Oreochromis niloticus: one gene and its partner. The protein of the gene in region 1 purifies or fractionates together with the protein of each later gene. This does not show direct contact. Links are inferred from orthologs where the notes say so. Each region holds a gene or a part of one and is shown on either strand. Other genes may lie near its edges.

What was found. The genes of interacting proteins can lie anywhere in the genome.
Region 2: the proteins of hdac6 (region 1) and dbt purify together in Homo sapiens (affinity purification with mass spectrometry; 3 studies listed by BioGRID and IntAct, with this or other methods). This does not show direct contact. The link is inferred for Oreochromis niloticus from reciprocal best matches to the Homo sapiens genes HDAC6 and DBT.

The regions. Positions count from the first base shown.
Region 1 is NC_031984.2:4,905,971-4,913,054, reverse strand, and holds the start of hdac6 (histone deacetylase 6), read left to right. Parts: upstream 1-4,019; 5' UTR 4,020-4,073; coding exon 4,074-4,151; intron 4,152-5,277; coding exon 5,278-5,370; intron 5,371-6,881; coding exon 6,882-7,010; intron 7,011-7,084. Other genes in the region: cxxc1a (CXXC-type zinc finger protein 1a), read left to right, coding at 1-148, 240-350, 826-875, 957-1,053, 1,819-1,971, 2,063-2,209.
Region 2 is NC_031986.2:35,936,761-35,944,022, reverse strand, and holds the start of dbt (lipoamide acyltransferase component of branched-chain alpha-keto acid dehydrogenase complex, mitochondrial), read right to left. Parts: upstream 3,079-7,262; 5' UTR 2,988-3,078; coding exon 2,940-2,987; intron 1,938-2,939; coding exon 1,808-1,937; intron 1,592-1,807; coding exon 1,516-1,591; intron 871-1,515; coding exon 689-870; intron 613-688; coding exon 485-612; intron 401-484; coding exon 148-400; intron 53-147; coding exon 1-52. Other genes in the region: tubgcp5 (gamma-tubulin complex component 5), read right to left, coding at 4,757-4,803, 5,382-5,482, 5,655-5,737, 6,112-6,237, 6,995-7,146, 7,226-7,262. UniProt on the Homo sapiens protein: The branched-chain alpha-keto dehydrogenase complex catalyzes the overall conversion of alpha-keto acids to acyl-CoA and CO(2).

The sequences.
Region 1 (7,084 bases):
CGAGGAGATTGGACGCAGACAGCTGGAGCGGATCAGGAAAGAGCAGCAGGCGGCGAGGATGCGTCTCACGATGATGGAGAAACGCTTCCATGAGCTAGAAGGCATCATCGCCAACGCCAAACTTCAGCAAGTCCAGCAGCACGAGGAGGTATGTGGCAACCGCAGCCACCCAGTGCACTCCGCTGTTAGTGTGATCAGCTGTTAGTTGGTCTCATCTGCGTCTCTGTTTGTCTCTGCAGGTGACTGAGGGTGACGGTGACGACACAGACTTTCAGATCTTCTGTGTTTCCTGCAGTCACCCCGTCAATCCAAAGGTGGCTCTGCGTCATATGGAGCGATGCTACGCTAAGGTTAGCTTAAAGAAACAGGAAGTGTGTCCACCTGGGGTCTGAACTGGTTATGAATTACAACTGCCTTAATGAGGTGATCAAACAGGAAGGTACTAACAGCAATGTGGCAACAAAGGCCACAATAAGCCAGTGAAATGACCTTTAGCAAATTCACCCAATGCTGCTGTTCAAATCTTCTGTTTAAAAGAGCTACTCTTCTGGAGTTTAATAATAAATGAGGATAATAAGTTCTCCCTAAAAGATTATTGATGTAACCTAGCACCCCTGAGGTCCTCCTGATTTAACAACATTGGTCTGAGTCTGCACATTAAGTCAGAATATTAGCAGGCATATGGTGGTTATGGCACAACAACTAGTTTTACATCCCCTAACATGACAGTCAGCTGTTCTGAGGTAAAATGTGGGTAATGTAGTCATCAACTTGATTTAAAAGGAAGACTGTTTAATCTGATCTTTCTGTTTCTTTGTCCGACAGTATGAGAGTCAAACATCGTTTGGTTCCATGTATCCAACACGCATAGAGGGGTAAGACCGTGCATCTGTCCGTCCCTCCTGTCTTTACCCGTCTCTCTGTTTGTGTCTCATCTCTCTCTCTGTGTCTCTCAGAGCCACCAGGTTATTCTGCGATGTCTACAATCCTCAAAGTAAGACGTACTGTAAGCGGCTGCAGGTTTTATGTCCTGAACACTCCAGAGATCCAAAGGTTTGTTTATGTCTACAGAAAACAACTTATGACTCGATCAAGGCTTTAATTCGCTGCTTTTTTCCTCGCTTGCTTAAACTCAATGGAGAACTTTTTATTTTTATTTTAGCAAATGTCTGTCGGGCTCTAAAATATTATGTTGGTGTGCTCTTACAAAACTTATCAGCTGTGGATATTTAAAAAATGTTTCTGTTCACGTTAACTTACTGTCTCAAGTCTTTAAAGGACTTAACATCAGAATTTGGATGATACATAAGTTTTAATGTGGCATGTGGTCCTGAGTCTGGACTCAGAGTCCGGAGAAGGGTACAAAGTCAGGACTAGCTGGTCCTGGACTCTGGTCCTGACTTTGGGCTCAGAGACTCAGAGTCAGGCAGTCAGGCCTGACTGTTTCCAGACTCTGGAGTCTTTGGTCCTGACTCTGGAAACAGTCAGGCAGAGTCTGGATCTGACTCTGGACTAGCTGATCCTGACTGGATCGTTGGTCCTGACTGGACTAGCTGGTCCTAACTCTGGGCTAGGTGGTCCTGACTCTTGTTCTGGCTCTGGACTGGCTGGTTCTGATTCTGAACTGGCTGATCCTGACTCTTGCTCTGAGTGCAGGATCAGCTAGTCCTGACTCTTGTTCTGACTCTGGACTCACCGGTCCTGACTACGCTAGCTGATCCTGACTCTGGACTAGCTGATCCCGAGTCTGGTCCTGGCTCTGGACTCAAAGTCAGGCAGACATTTTCCTGACTCTTTGTTATTGACTCCCTGTTGCAGGTCCCAGCAGACGAGGTGTGCGGATGTCCTCTGGTCAAAGACGTGTTTGAGCCCACCGGCGAGTTCTGTCGGGTGTCTAAGAGGAAGTGCAACAAGCATTACTGCTGGGAGAAACTTCGCCGCGCCGAAGTCGACCTGGAGAGAGTCCGAGTGGTATCTCTATTCATACAAACTTTATTTAGTGCCTCGTCATTAACATTAAGACACACCTGGATGTTTCTAACTCTCTCTTTGTCTCTGTCAGTGGTATAAACTGGACGAGCTGTTCGAGCAGGAGAGGAATCTGAGGACCGCCATGACCAACCGAGCCGGTTTATTGGCTCTGATGTTGCACCAGACCATCCAGCATGACCCAATCACCACCGACCTGCGCTCTGCCAAGGACAGGTAGACAGGTGACGTCAGGCAGACGTTTTCCTGGATGAGTTTAATGCTCGTTTGCAATTTTATTGTGGAAATTTGTGGGAAGGTGAGTCAGAGCAACGTTTCATTCACCAGTGAACAAAAAACAAGAGAGATTTGATTCTGACTCCAGCCTCATTCAAACTCAGACCTCATCTGATTTTAGGAAGTCAAACCGTTTTTATATTTCATATTCACACTACTAATGTAGGAAACCTGAGCTCTTACAATCCATGGATGAACACTCAAATAAACCTTCTGCTTAGGTAACACTGCAATGTCTGCTGGATCTCAGCTTAGCTTTGTGGGCAGTTGTATCCTCACTGTTAGTTTTAATAAGTTGGGGATGACTGGACACACAAATATGATCACATTTGATCCTGAATGAGCCATAATGTCTAAAGAGGTGCTCATGTGTCCTCCTCCTACTGGAAAGCTGCTCTCATTCAGTTTAACCTACAAGTATTACACTACCCACATCCGACCAATCTGAAATGTGACTGTGCTTTGGAAATGTCTTAAGGTTGATGATGAAACACTACATGTTCACTAAAGATGCACACATTTTATAAATCTCGAAGTCATCTTGTTACAAGTCATTCCTCCTTGTTTCTTTTTACAATGTGAGCCTGTTGCAGTTTAAATAAAAATTGTGTAAATATCAGTTTAAACTTTCCCCCATGGGATCATCAAAAAAAAGTAAGCATAGAAGAAAAAAAAATGCTAGCCATAAAAAGATGGATTCTGTGACTTGATTGACTCTTGCTTCAGTCTAAGTGAATAAACAGTCAATGGGGTAAGCATAGGGAAATTACTTTTAAGCACAAAGAGCTGAAGTCAAGTGAAATTAATTAAATAAATAAATAAAATGAAATGTCCTGATAAAGAACTCTTGTTTGTATATTGATGAAAGTCAAACTTTTCTGTGTGACATTAATTTCCCTCTGAGAGGAAACCCTTCATTTCGATCTCAGTGTCTCCTTTTTTATATCTGTTTTTATCCTCAGTGTTATCAGTATGTTGTTATTTGTTAAAAATGTTTCAATAAAGTTTGATATCTCATTATTTGTGCTGATTCTGAGCTTTTCTGTTCTTCGAGTGAATGCCAGTGCTGCACCAATTTACTTTAAACTGCACCACAACAATAAACTGGCTACCCAACATGCTTTTTTTAATAGACCAGTAAAATTTCATACATGCAACATAAAGCAGAGAATTCATGAGAAAGATATGAAATCTAGAATTGATTGTAATTAAATTCAGTTTTATTTTATTTTATGTTATTAGGCAGAAGGAAAAAAAACTATACATCATTGTCATTTTTAGTGTGAATAAACGGCCATAGTATAATATTAGGAAAGACATAGTATTATTATTAAAATTAAACAGCAAAAAGGAAAAAAAAATTGTAAAACAACAGAACAAAAACCCAACCATAATAATACAACCTACATTTTGAAGACGCTATTTGTTTTAAGCACATATGACTCTATAAAGATTAAGAGAAAAGCTCGCGACATCGATCTCTAACGTTTTTTAGTTTTAAATTATTAAAAAAGTCCCGGCGCGCGCCACACCCCTGGCTACGCTGCTCGGTGACGTCAAACGCCTCCGACGGTAGCGGTGTACGGTTGGCGCTCAGCGGCTCGGAAACAAACAGTACACTTCCTGGTCGTCCCGGTTCCGGAGGCTGCAGCGGGTCTTCAGACGGATTTTGACCTGGTTTCAGGGTGTGGATGTTTTCGGCTGACTGTGAGTCCCAGTTTATCCGCTCAGTCTGGGTGTTTCATACTAAGAACAAGCTAGCAGGAGGCTAACAGTCTCTGCTGCTTCACTATTTACACCGAGAGAGGATGACCCCGGTCCCGGTCCTGGCCACGATCATGATCTTAGAAAAAGCATTTATGCATCAACGTGAAACTGAGCTGAAGGTGTGACAGATATATTAAAATATATTAAATAATTAAAATAATTAAATAATAATTAAATAATTCTAAACAAATATGAAAAACAAGAAACATAGTTCAGTTCAACTATATATGCATCCATAACTTACAGTAGTAGTCATTTTTTTAAGGTCAACAATAATAACAGAGAGAAACCAATGAATGAATTGATCAGGACTTGGCGACAGTAGGAAGAAGAAAAGCTACTCTGAAATCAGAAGATACCACTGCGCAGGCTGAAGGGATGAGAAGAGCTTAGAGAGACAAAAACCTGCATAAACAGAAGCAGACTGGTATCTTTTTCAAAGAATGTCTAGGAAGACATTCTTTGAAAATAACACAATCACTCCTGGAGAAGGAGATGATGCTTGAGGAATGGAGAAGAAGTGTACTGGTACAGATTTTCTAGAGCAAGGGTGATGTGCAGAGCTGAGTAACTACAGATAGATAAAGTTGATGAGTGTGAGAATAAAGATATGGGAAAGAGCTGTTGAAGTTAGGTTAAGGAGCAGCAGTATGGATCATGCTGAGAAAGAGCTTGGCAGATGTGATGTTTGCTTTGAGAGTGTTGATAGAGAAGTATAGAGAAAATCAGAAGGAGCTTCACTGTGTCTTCGTGGATCTAGAGAAAGTTTATTACATGGTACCCAGAGAGGAAGTCAGGAGTAGTGGGGAAGCATGTGAGGGTGGCGTGACAGTGATGGGTTCAAGGTGAGAGTGGGATTACATCAGGGATCAGCTCTGAGCCCCTTCTTGTTTGCAATTATGGTGAAAACAGTTTTAAGTAATCAGAAAAGTGGCCGGCTTATAAAGCTGGTCTCCTGAGTTCCCAGATGTTTACAGAGTGTAGTTTAAAAAAAAAAAAAAAAAAAAAAAAGGTGACGAAACTCTTCAGTCTCAAATTCAAAGTGAGCAGAGAGATTTAAGTAAACAAAAAGTCTTCTCAGTTTCAGCATACTTGGTTCTGTGCTATTTGAGGTTAATTAAAGGATTTAATTAGTTTGGATTCTCATTCACACATTACACAGTCGTGACTCCTCTGTAACGAGGCTTGTTGTGGCTCGCAGGTGTGAAGGTTCTTCTTCATGTGTCTTTGTTATTTTTGATTCAGGTCGATCTGCGTGGATCAGTGATGCAGTCGGGGTCAGATCCTCCAGGACATGGACCGAAGCCAGTTAGAAGATCTCCTCGTCTGTCCCCTCAGGTCAGTCATCCGACACAGTGATACACCTGGTTTTAACCTTCACCTCCTTTTAAACCTTTTTGCCGCTCAGCCATAAAAGGCTGACGGGGTGTTGTCATCACCCTGCCAGGTGGACGCACAATGTGGATACTCAAGTTTGTGAATGCGATAACTCGAGAATGAAGGAGCTTCAAATTGATGCCATGTGTATATCTACAAAAAATCTCAGACAAGTTTGAATCTTTGTGACCTCGACCACATAGTCAAGGTCAGAGGTCAAGTTTACTCAAAATCCTATGGACGCGATAACTTGAAAACAAGGTGACATACAGTAGGATTTTGTAATTGATGCCGTAGGTGCATCTACTAGGAGGCTGAGAGGTAGCATTGGTTGCTACCATTATTCATTTTCAATATTAGATTAGTCATTTACTCTGCAGTCACTCTTTGCGGATTCCTAGTTAGCAAAAAGTGATCAACATGCCGTATGCCGCATGTCTGAGAGCGGCCAGCCTGGGTTCAAATCCAACCTGCCCTTTGCAGCACGTCTCCCCCTCTCTTTTTCCCTCTGCTTTCCTGTTAGTCTTCACTGTATCTGCCCAATAAAGCCAGAAAAAGGTAGAAAAATATATATTAAAAAAAAAAAAAAGTAATCTACAACAAAGTAAGCAAACTTTATAGTTTGATCAGTATGGCCTTTAGTATGTAGATCGGGGGTTGTATTAAAAGTGTGAAGGTTTGTTAGTTGCAGCTTTAACTTGACTGGGTTATTTTAGTGACTTAAATGAGTGAGTTTGGATCTATTCATGTCTAACACCTATACTGTTTTCTCTGTCTGTGGCAGATATTATAAAATGTTCTCATGTCAGTGACTGATTTTCAGTCATTTTAATGCAGAAAGGATTTTAAAAAATGTATGAACAAAATTGCATTTATTGAGACAATCCTCATCTGTCACTCCTCATAAAACACATTTTATTTGTTTCAATAATGCTAAAATGAAGAGAAAGAATAATATTGTAACAGTTACAGTCAGTAGATTAGACAGGCGACCCTCCTTTCTCCATACGGAGCTAGAAATGAGTAGTATAGTTCCTCTTTAGGGTTAAAGTGATAAGCTCGATTTAACTCGTTTTTATCAGTGTTACTATTTATAATGTGTTAAAGTTTACAGGTTGGCTTTAGCTGAGTTCGAATTATTGACGAGTAAAAGTGGGCGAGGCAATCATTCATTTATCTGAGGTGAACTTTTATCTCAGATTGTCGTGCCTCTCCTTCGATTCTGCACTCAGTTTCATGTGAACACCTGAGTGTTTGGATCTGTTGTCAGTCTGCTTTCGTAACACCAGACAGAAACAGCCGACCCTTTTATTTTCTTCTTCTTCAGCTTTTCCTCTTTTAGTTATTTGAACTCTTCTTCTTCTGTTTCTTTGCGTCACGTTGGAGCGCTTGTGATTTAACCCTACAGCGTATCAATTTGCTTCAGTCGCAGCAGAGAGGTGGGCTTCAGCTGCTCCTGTTTATGTTTGCAGGTCGGCAGCAGTGAGGGAACACAGGAGAGCAAAGGAGGAAACAGCCTGCAGGAGCTGAAGAGGAGAGGAAGGATGGAGAGGACCAGAGAGGAGCAAGAAGAGGAGCTGAGTGGCAAATTGAAGACACTGGTGAGATTTGCACTCTGTTTAATATTTGAAAAGGTTAGCATGCACCTTGGATCTGCAGTGTTTGGAACAGAGGT
Region 2 (7,262 bases), on another chromosome or scaffold:
TGAGGAATCTTCAGCGCCACAGTCATCGTCTTCACCATCGCTTTCTGGAAACCTGAAGAGCCAATCAGAATGTTTAGAGAGAAAGGAGATGACATGCAAGTCTCGCAGTGAACAGCGCAACACTTAGGCTTGACAGCAATCTCTGACCTTTGAGGGGCTCCGTCACGTCCTTGCCAGTGAAGACAGGTTTAGGAGTAGCGGGTGGAGGTTTCACAGCCACCTTAGTGCTCACAGGCTTGGCAGCAGCAGGAGCAGCAGCAGGGGCCGGGGGCGGAGTCTGGATCTCCTGGAAAGGTGTCGGAGGCAAGATGGCTCCAGTTTGCTTTGCCAGGAAGTTCAGGATGTCCTCCTTCAGGATCCGCCCATCTCTGCCAGTCCCCACCACCTCACTGAGCTTTATCTGAGGACAAAGCGACACCTCAACTGGGAACACAGTGGGACAGACTGGGACAACCCGGTGCGGACAAATAGGAATCACACTTACATTGTTCTCCATGGCGAGGCGTCTGACTGCAGGCGTGGCCTGCGTCTTGTGACCTTTGATCTCCTGGTGGGTGTGTTCTTCTCGAGCCATGGCGGGCGTCTCCACCACGTCCTCCTCCTGGATCACCTCTGAAGGATAACAGCAGTGAGACTTTCAGCCGTGAACTTGGACGGGTGGACGAGTGAAGACCTGCTGATGCCTCACCTGAGCCAGACTCCGTCTCGATATCCACCAGCGGTTTTCCCACAAAGGCCGTGGCATCTGCATCGTAGTAGAGCTTTTTGATGACCCCATCGTAGCGGCTGGTAATGGTGACCGATGCCTTGTCGCTCTGAACCTCACAGATGCTGTCAAACTGAGAAACTTTGTCTCCTTCCTTCACGTACCTGCCAGAGGAATCCAGATTTATTTATGCAGTGGCAAATCACAAGAACAGAATACGCACAAGGACATATCCTAGTCAAAAATGACTCCAAGGTTCCTCAAAGTGTTATTGGAGGCCATATTTCTAAGATTTTCTGTCCCAAGTACAATAACCTCAGTTTTATCTGAATTTAGAAAATTAGAGGTCATCCAGGGCTTTAGGACTTCCTGACATTCCTGCAGTTTAACTAATTGGTGTGTGTTATCTGGCCTGATGGATAGATAAACTTGGGTGTCCTCTGCATAGCAGTGAAAATGGATGCTATGCCTTCTGATGATACTACCTAAGGGAAGCATGTATAATGTAAACAGAACTGGTCCTAGCACTGAACCCTGTTGAACTCCATATTTAACTTTAGTGTGTGAAGAGGACTCTCCATTTACATGAACAAACTGGAGTGTAACGAGTTAACAGGCCATCCTTCATTACAGGTTACAGGTGTTACATCCTAATCGTTTCATATGTTCACCTGTTTGTTCTTTTACAAACTCTGGGGTTTCAGGTTTGCTTCATTTTAAAAACAAAATAATACCAAAATTTTGTCATGACAATAAAAAACGGAGCTGTTGGACTCTTTTTTTTCTTTTTTTTTGTCTTGGTCACGTACCACTCCTTGACGGTCACCTCCATGATTCCCTCACCGATGTCAGACAGTTTGAACTGCACGATAGGTCCTTGATTCACTGCCGGACAAAACAAAACAGTGACACGATCACAGAGAAACAGAACAATCTGCTGATGGAGGTCAGCGTACACCACCATGAGTGATCTGCCTCAATTCTCCCAGAGTCCATCAAACAGCTGAAAACCCAGAACAGTTCACCATGATACAGATCTCCATGGCAATAGCAGAGAGATCAGAGGAGGCCAGGATTCAGGTGCTGCCGGTCTGGACTTACCCACAGCGACATGCAGCCCTCTGCAGCTGAACACCTGGAGCTTCCTGTCACACCTGAAGGTCATTGGCTGCAGAGTCCTGTCACATCTGAAGCTCTGCAGCCGGAAACATCTGCGGCTCTGCTGACTCAGCTGACGGGAAAAGAGCAGATAACAGAGGTCACCTGGACCAGCCAACACACAGGTGCTTCTAAGCCACGCCCCCTGATATTCAGGGCCTGATGGTTCTTCCTTCAGGTCCTGAATGTCAGACCAGGACCAGCACTCCGAAACTCAAACATGAAGACTAGCTCACAACTCCTTCAGCTTCTAATAAAGATGCATACGGACATTCTTTAAACAAGGTGGTGATGTAACCCTAACAGAGAAGAAATGCCAGCCAATAAAAACATCACACACGCCTCTGACACTGTGGCACCAGATCTATGTTTCCTCATCTGCATGTAAACGAGGAAACCGAGTGCATTTACACTGATTTATGCCAAGTCACTGAAGATTACGCTAAGCCTGACTTTGACACTTTCAGGAAGTGGGGGATGATGGGAAATGGCCTTCAGGTTGTCACTCGCTGACAGAAACTCTGCTCAGGTGTTTTTCTTATTGCAGGTTTCCTCTGAATATCTCGAAGCTGTCTCACTCCCATGTCACTTCTCACTAAATAAAACAGAAAGTTCGCTTTAAAATTTATACACATCATTGGAGGACCACCTGTCAATCACGTCGTTTCCGTCGTTTGAAACCACATCTGCTCCTGAGGTCTGGAACAAACACCTGTCCTGGCGGCAGCAGGTGAAGCAAGTTTCACCTGCAGGACAAGCTCTGAATATTACTGAGCTCAGATCTGGGTCAGAACCAGAACCCGCACACTGCCGGTTCTGGTTCTGACTCAGACCCTGACCCGGAAACAGCTGCTGACCATCAGGAAGCACTCGCAGCTGTTAGCTGTTAGCCAAAGCATGCTAACTCAGAGGCTGTTTCATTCCATTAGGGTTAGCATCAGCTAGCCCATTGGCTAGCTATGCTAACGCACTGAGCTTGGTGACGTTGCGGAGACTCTCCGTTAGCATTAGCCGCAGGTTAGCATTAAGCGCTTTCAGAGCCTGTGACGAGAACACGAAGCCTGTATTTGCTCACCAGTAGCCGCCTGAACGCGCCGAGAGAGCCTCTGGTCACCGCCGCCATCTCTACGCTCCGCTGCACGCCCCTCTCTGCAGCCAATCAGCGCGCAGCGCCGGCCTCTCTTCTTCTGCTGCTTCCCGCAGGGCTCGCAGACGTCACACAGGTGTGATGGCGCCACGATCAGGAGAGCTAATGAACAACAAACTGATTCATTAAACTTTTCCTGGTTTTTACAGCCTTAGACGTTCCACGGTTTTTATCCATTATTAATAATAAAAATGATTTGTTGTTTATTTAAAGACAGGTCAGCATCATGACATCAGCAAGCTGCCGTTTGTGCACCTGTCCAGATAAGGTAAGATAAGATAAGACTTTATTGATCCCATGGCGGGGAAATTTGTGCGTTACCACAGCTCAGGTACAGATAGTAGAAGAATACAAAGAGTATACCAGAATATAAAGTCAACAAATACAAAATAAATAAGATAATACAATATATACAATGGTAGCTGAGGTTCTATGTACACACATACCCAGAATATGTTATTGATACAAGTTGTGGAAATATGCAAGAAATACATTAAAAACTATTCTACTACTACTACTATTACTATGTGAGTAAAAGATATCTATAAGTATCTATAAGTATAGACATGTACATACACACACACGTACAAATACACATACACCATAATCACTAATGCAGAGTGTCATCACATTAATCAGATTTCATCTCTACAGGGTCATCAGTTTCTACAGTTAGAACCATAAGAATGTGCAGTTGAGCAGTTAGCTGCACACAAGTCCTTACAGCTACAAACAGGGGACTGTAGAATCAAACCTGAAGGGCTCAGCCCTCAGTCATAGTGTCATGCATACGCTGCCCTGCAATTAACATTACTGGAATATGCTGCTTACAAAAATATTCACCTCTTTTTTCAGCTCAATTACATTTTCATGGAGGTTAGAAAAAGGAGGAAGTTTTTGAATGCACCTCACTCTCCTTAAAAAATAAAGGTGGCTTGTGGCTGAGCAGTAGCATCATGGTTTTGTGTTGCTGTTGCATTTTCATTTCTTTGTACAGCGCTTTGTGCCTTTATGTCTATAAACTTGAATTACGACACCTGTGTGTGGGTTTTCCTGTTAGTGGTGCAGTAATGCCAGCTGTTTGTGACGTTCGGGGCTGGATTACTGTGAACAACCTCTGTGTGCAGAGCCTCCTTGCTGAAGGCCTCAGTCTCGCTGTGTGCTGTTATTTTGGTCATATGGTGCATTTGATTTGACAAATATTTTACACTACACGCTCTTCCTGAGGCAACCCTCCCCGTTCTTCTGCTCCAACAGCAGCAGCTTCTGAGAACTCCTCAGTTTATACGTGCAGTCAACAATTAATTTATTATCAATGTGTGGCAGAGGTGTGGTCCTTGGCTCAGCTGCAGGGGATGGGTGATGCAGGGAGGTTGGAGGGACAGGTGGACATGATTAAACTAATGGGGTTCCTCCCTTCGTATAGTGAGGGTGGAGACCGAAGTGGGACAGTATGCAGACAGCTGACGATTGTGTGTGTGCCGAACCAGGACGCTGTACATGAGTGCAAAATCAATTAAAAAACCCAGTGTGTCGGGTCATGGTCCTTTACACAACGTAAAGTGAATAACAGAGTCAAATGTCACCATGTATTGTCAAGTCATTTTTATTCTGCCTCGTCACAGACGTTATTAATATTAAAATACAAGCATTCATGTTTGAAATTTGCGGAGAAGCAGCAGGCCGGTCTGAGTCCATCTCAGCAGACAATGACATCATCACAGAGCGTGCTCGTGTCCAGCTCGTCAGCACTGCTCGAATCCCGCCATCAGAGAGAGCGCCAGAGACTCCACTGCACAACAAGAGAGACAGACGTCATCAGCTCCTCTCTGCTCACAGCATACAACAAGACGAGGTTAACTGGACAGCTACGGTGGCCAAGAGGTCCCAAACACATATTTCATTTACTGGAAAGGTTTTTCAATCATTCAGTCCTGTGTGCTGACAGGATGACCAGCACAAACATCCTATTTCTCATTTATTACTTTCATTTCCTGTTAAATTGACCTAGAAGGATCAGACTGCAGGAGACTTGTGGTTCCTGAGTCTGAGATGATGCAGGTGTCAACAACCGAAGGTCGGCTTTTATTGGCCCTTGGAAAACTTCGACCACACACGCCTGAGCCCTCGTAACGACATTTTCAGCCTGAAAATGTCGTGCGGATATCTCGTGCACTTATGAAGTCGATCCCCTCTAAACTGCGGACACACTCTGTTTGGAGGAAACACCGAGCACTGCAGCTGGATCCCGACAGCCTCGAAGCACCAACCGATTTTACATTTAAGCTTTTCCAAGTTGGATGTTCTGCACCTTTGGACCACCGTACACAATCACTGCGTTTGACATCATCACCCAGACGACAGACTCACAGTGAGGGAAGGAGCCCCGGCACACCGCCTTATTGAGGATCGTCACAAGGAACATGTGGCAGTTTTTGAAATCAGACTCCATTTTATCGATGGACTCTATCCTGAAAGAGAAACAACATTTAGCTGCAGAGCAGGTGTGTCGTCTCTGTACCTGGATGCGTGTACACACACACACACACACACACACACACACACACACACACACACACACACACACGCAGCGTGCACCACGAATGTCACATCAACACCACTGAATAGACACATCACTCTTACTTCCAGGCTCCAGCCTGCCATCTGTCCGAGAAGATGAGGACGAGATTCAGAACCTTTATTATCGCCTCCTTCACAAAACTGACCTGAGAAAACACAACATGTAGAAACAGGTGAGTCTGAGCAGGGAGCCAAAGTGAGATTCGGCCTACTGAAGGTTCTGGCCCCGCCCACAGTACAGTGTTTTACAAGTTTTTCTGGAAACATAAAGAATCACTGTCTTATAAGATCCAATTTATTTACTTGCCCGCCATCACACAGTACAGTAAGGTCAGTGTACAAGCAGCGGTGCTGATGGTGCAGCAACATTTCTTTGTGCTAAAGCAGGAAAACTGAGAAACGCCTCAGGCTGGTCATTGCGTTCGTAAAAGAACGAACGCTTTTTCATCATCTCAAACAAACAGCAACCGTCTTTACAGCTGATTGTGTCAGCGGTCAGACCGCCATCATAAATGTTCACCTTCTCCCTTAGCAGGCAACGGTCGTGAATCGTGGCCAGGTATCTGTAATGGATCTTGATGAGCTGGTCCAAGTCCTTGGCTTCCTGCACTTGGTGTTGAAACTCGAGTCCAGTGCTGTGCAGAATCTGCCAAGACACAAAGCAGATGAAGAGCCAGAGTTAGTCAAACTGAGAGTGCAGTGAGGACTCTTTTTATTAAAGGGGGTCGTTTAAAGAAGTGATTTTATTATGTAACCCTAGAAGTAAATATGACAGGAAGAGTTATCAGGCTGCCCGCTCACTGTCACGTGATCAGCGCTCGCTGTGCCAAGCTGCTGATCTTCCCTACCGAGCAGCGTCCTGATGGTGTTCATTATAAAAACGTTTGCTGGCACTACTATGTCGACAGCAGCGCTCGAGGGGTAAATGTGAGTGATGTCCTCCCTTATTTATGCTGCAATAGGTGTATGCTACTGGGGGATTCCAATGATGCACTGGGTGCTTCTTCTTCACTCACTATCTATTAATAGACCTCGCTGAACTGAATCATACTTGTTATTAATCTCTGGCTCTCTTCCACAACGTGTTTTATCCTGTCTTCCTTCTCTCACTCAACCGGTAGTGGCAGATGGCCGCCCCTCCCCGAGCCTGGCTCACCTGGAGGTTTCTTCCTGTTAAAAGGGAATTTTTCCTTCCCACTGTCACCAAAGCACTTGGTCATAGGGGGTCATATGATTGTTGGGTTTTTCTCTGTATATTTGATTGTAGGGTCTACCTTACAATATAAAGCGCCTTGTGGTGACTGCTGTTGTGATTTGGTGCTGTGCAAATAAAAATGAAGTGAATTGAATGTCATGGATGCGACATCCTGTTTGCAGGAGGTCAGTTTGGTGGTTTGCCTCACCCTCGTCATGATGTAGTTGTGAAGGCTGTTGACAAAGTGCATCAGTTTGACCCTGAGCAGACACATCCTGTGGATCTGCTGGTTCACGCGCTCTTTGACCTTGACCTCCTCGGCTGCGGCGCCCTCCAGCTTCTTAGTGACGTCTGTAAAACCTACGAGTAACAACCATTTATCAGAGAAATGACTAAGACGGGCTTATTTTCAGTTTACAGCTTCAGGTGGAGCTTGTACCGCTGAATCGAAGCGTGTCCAGACTGTACTTGGCCCA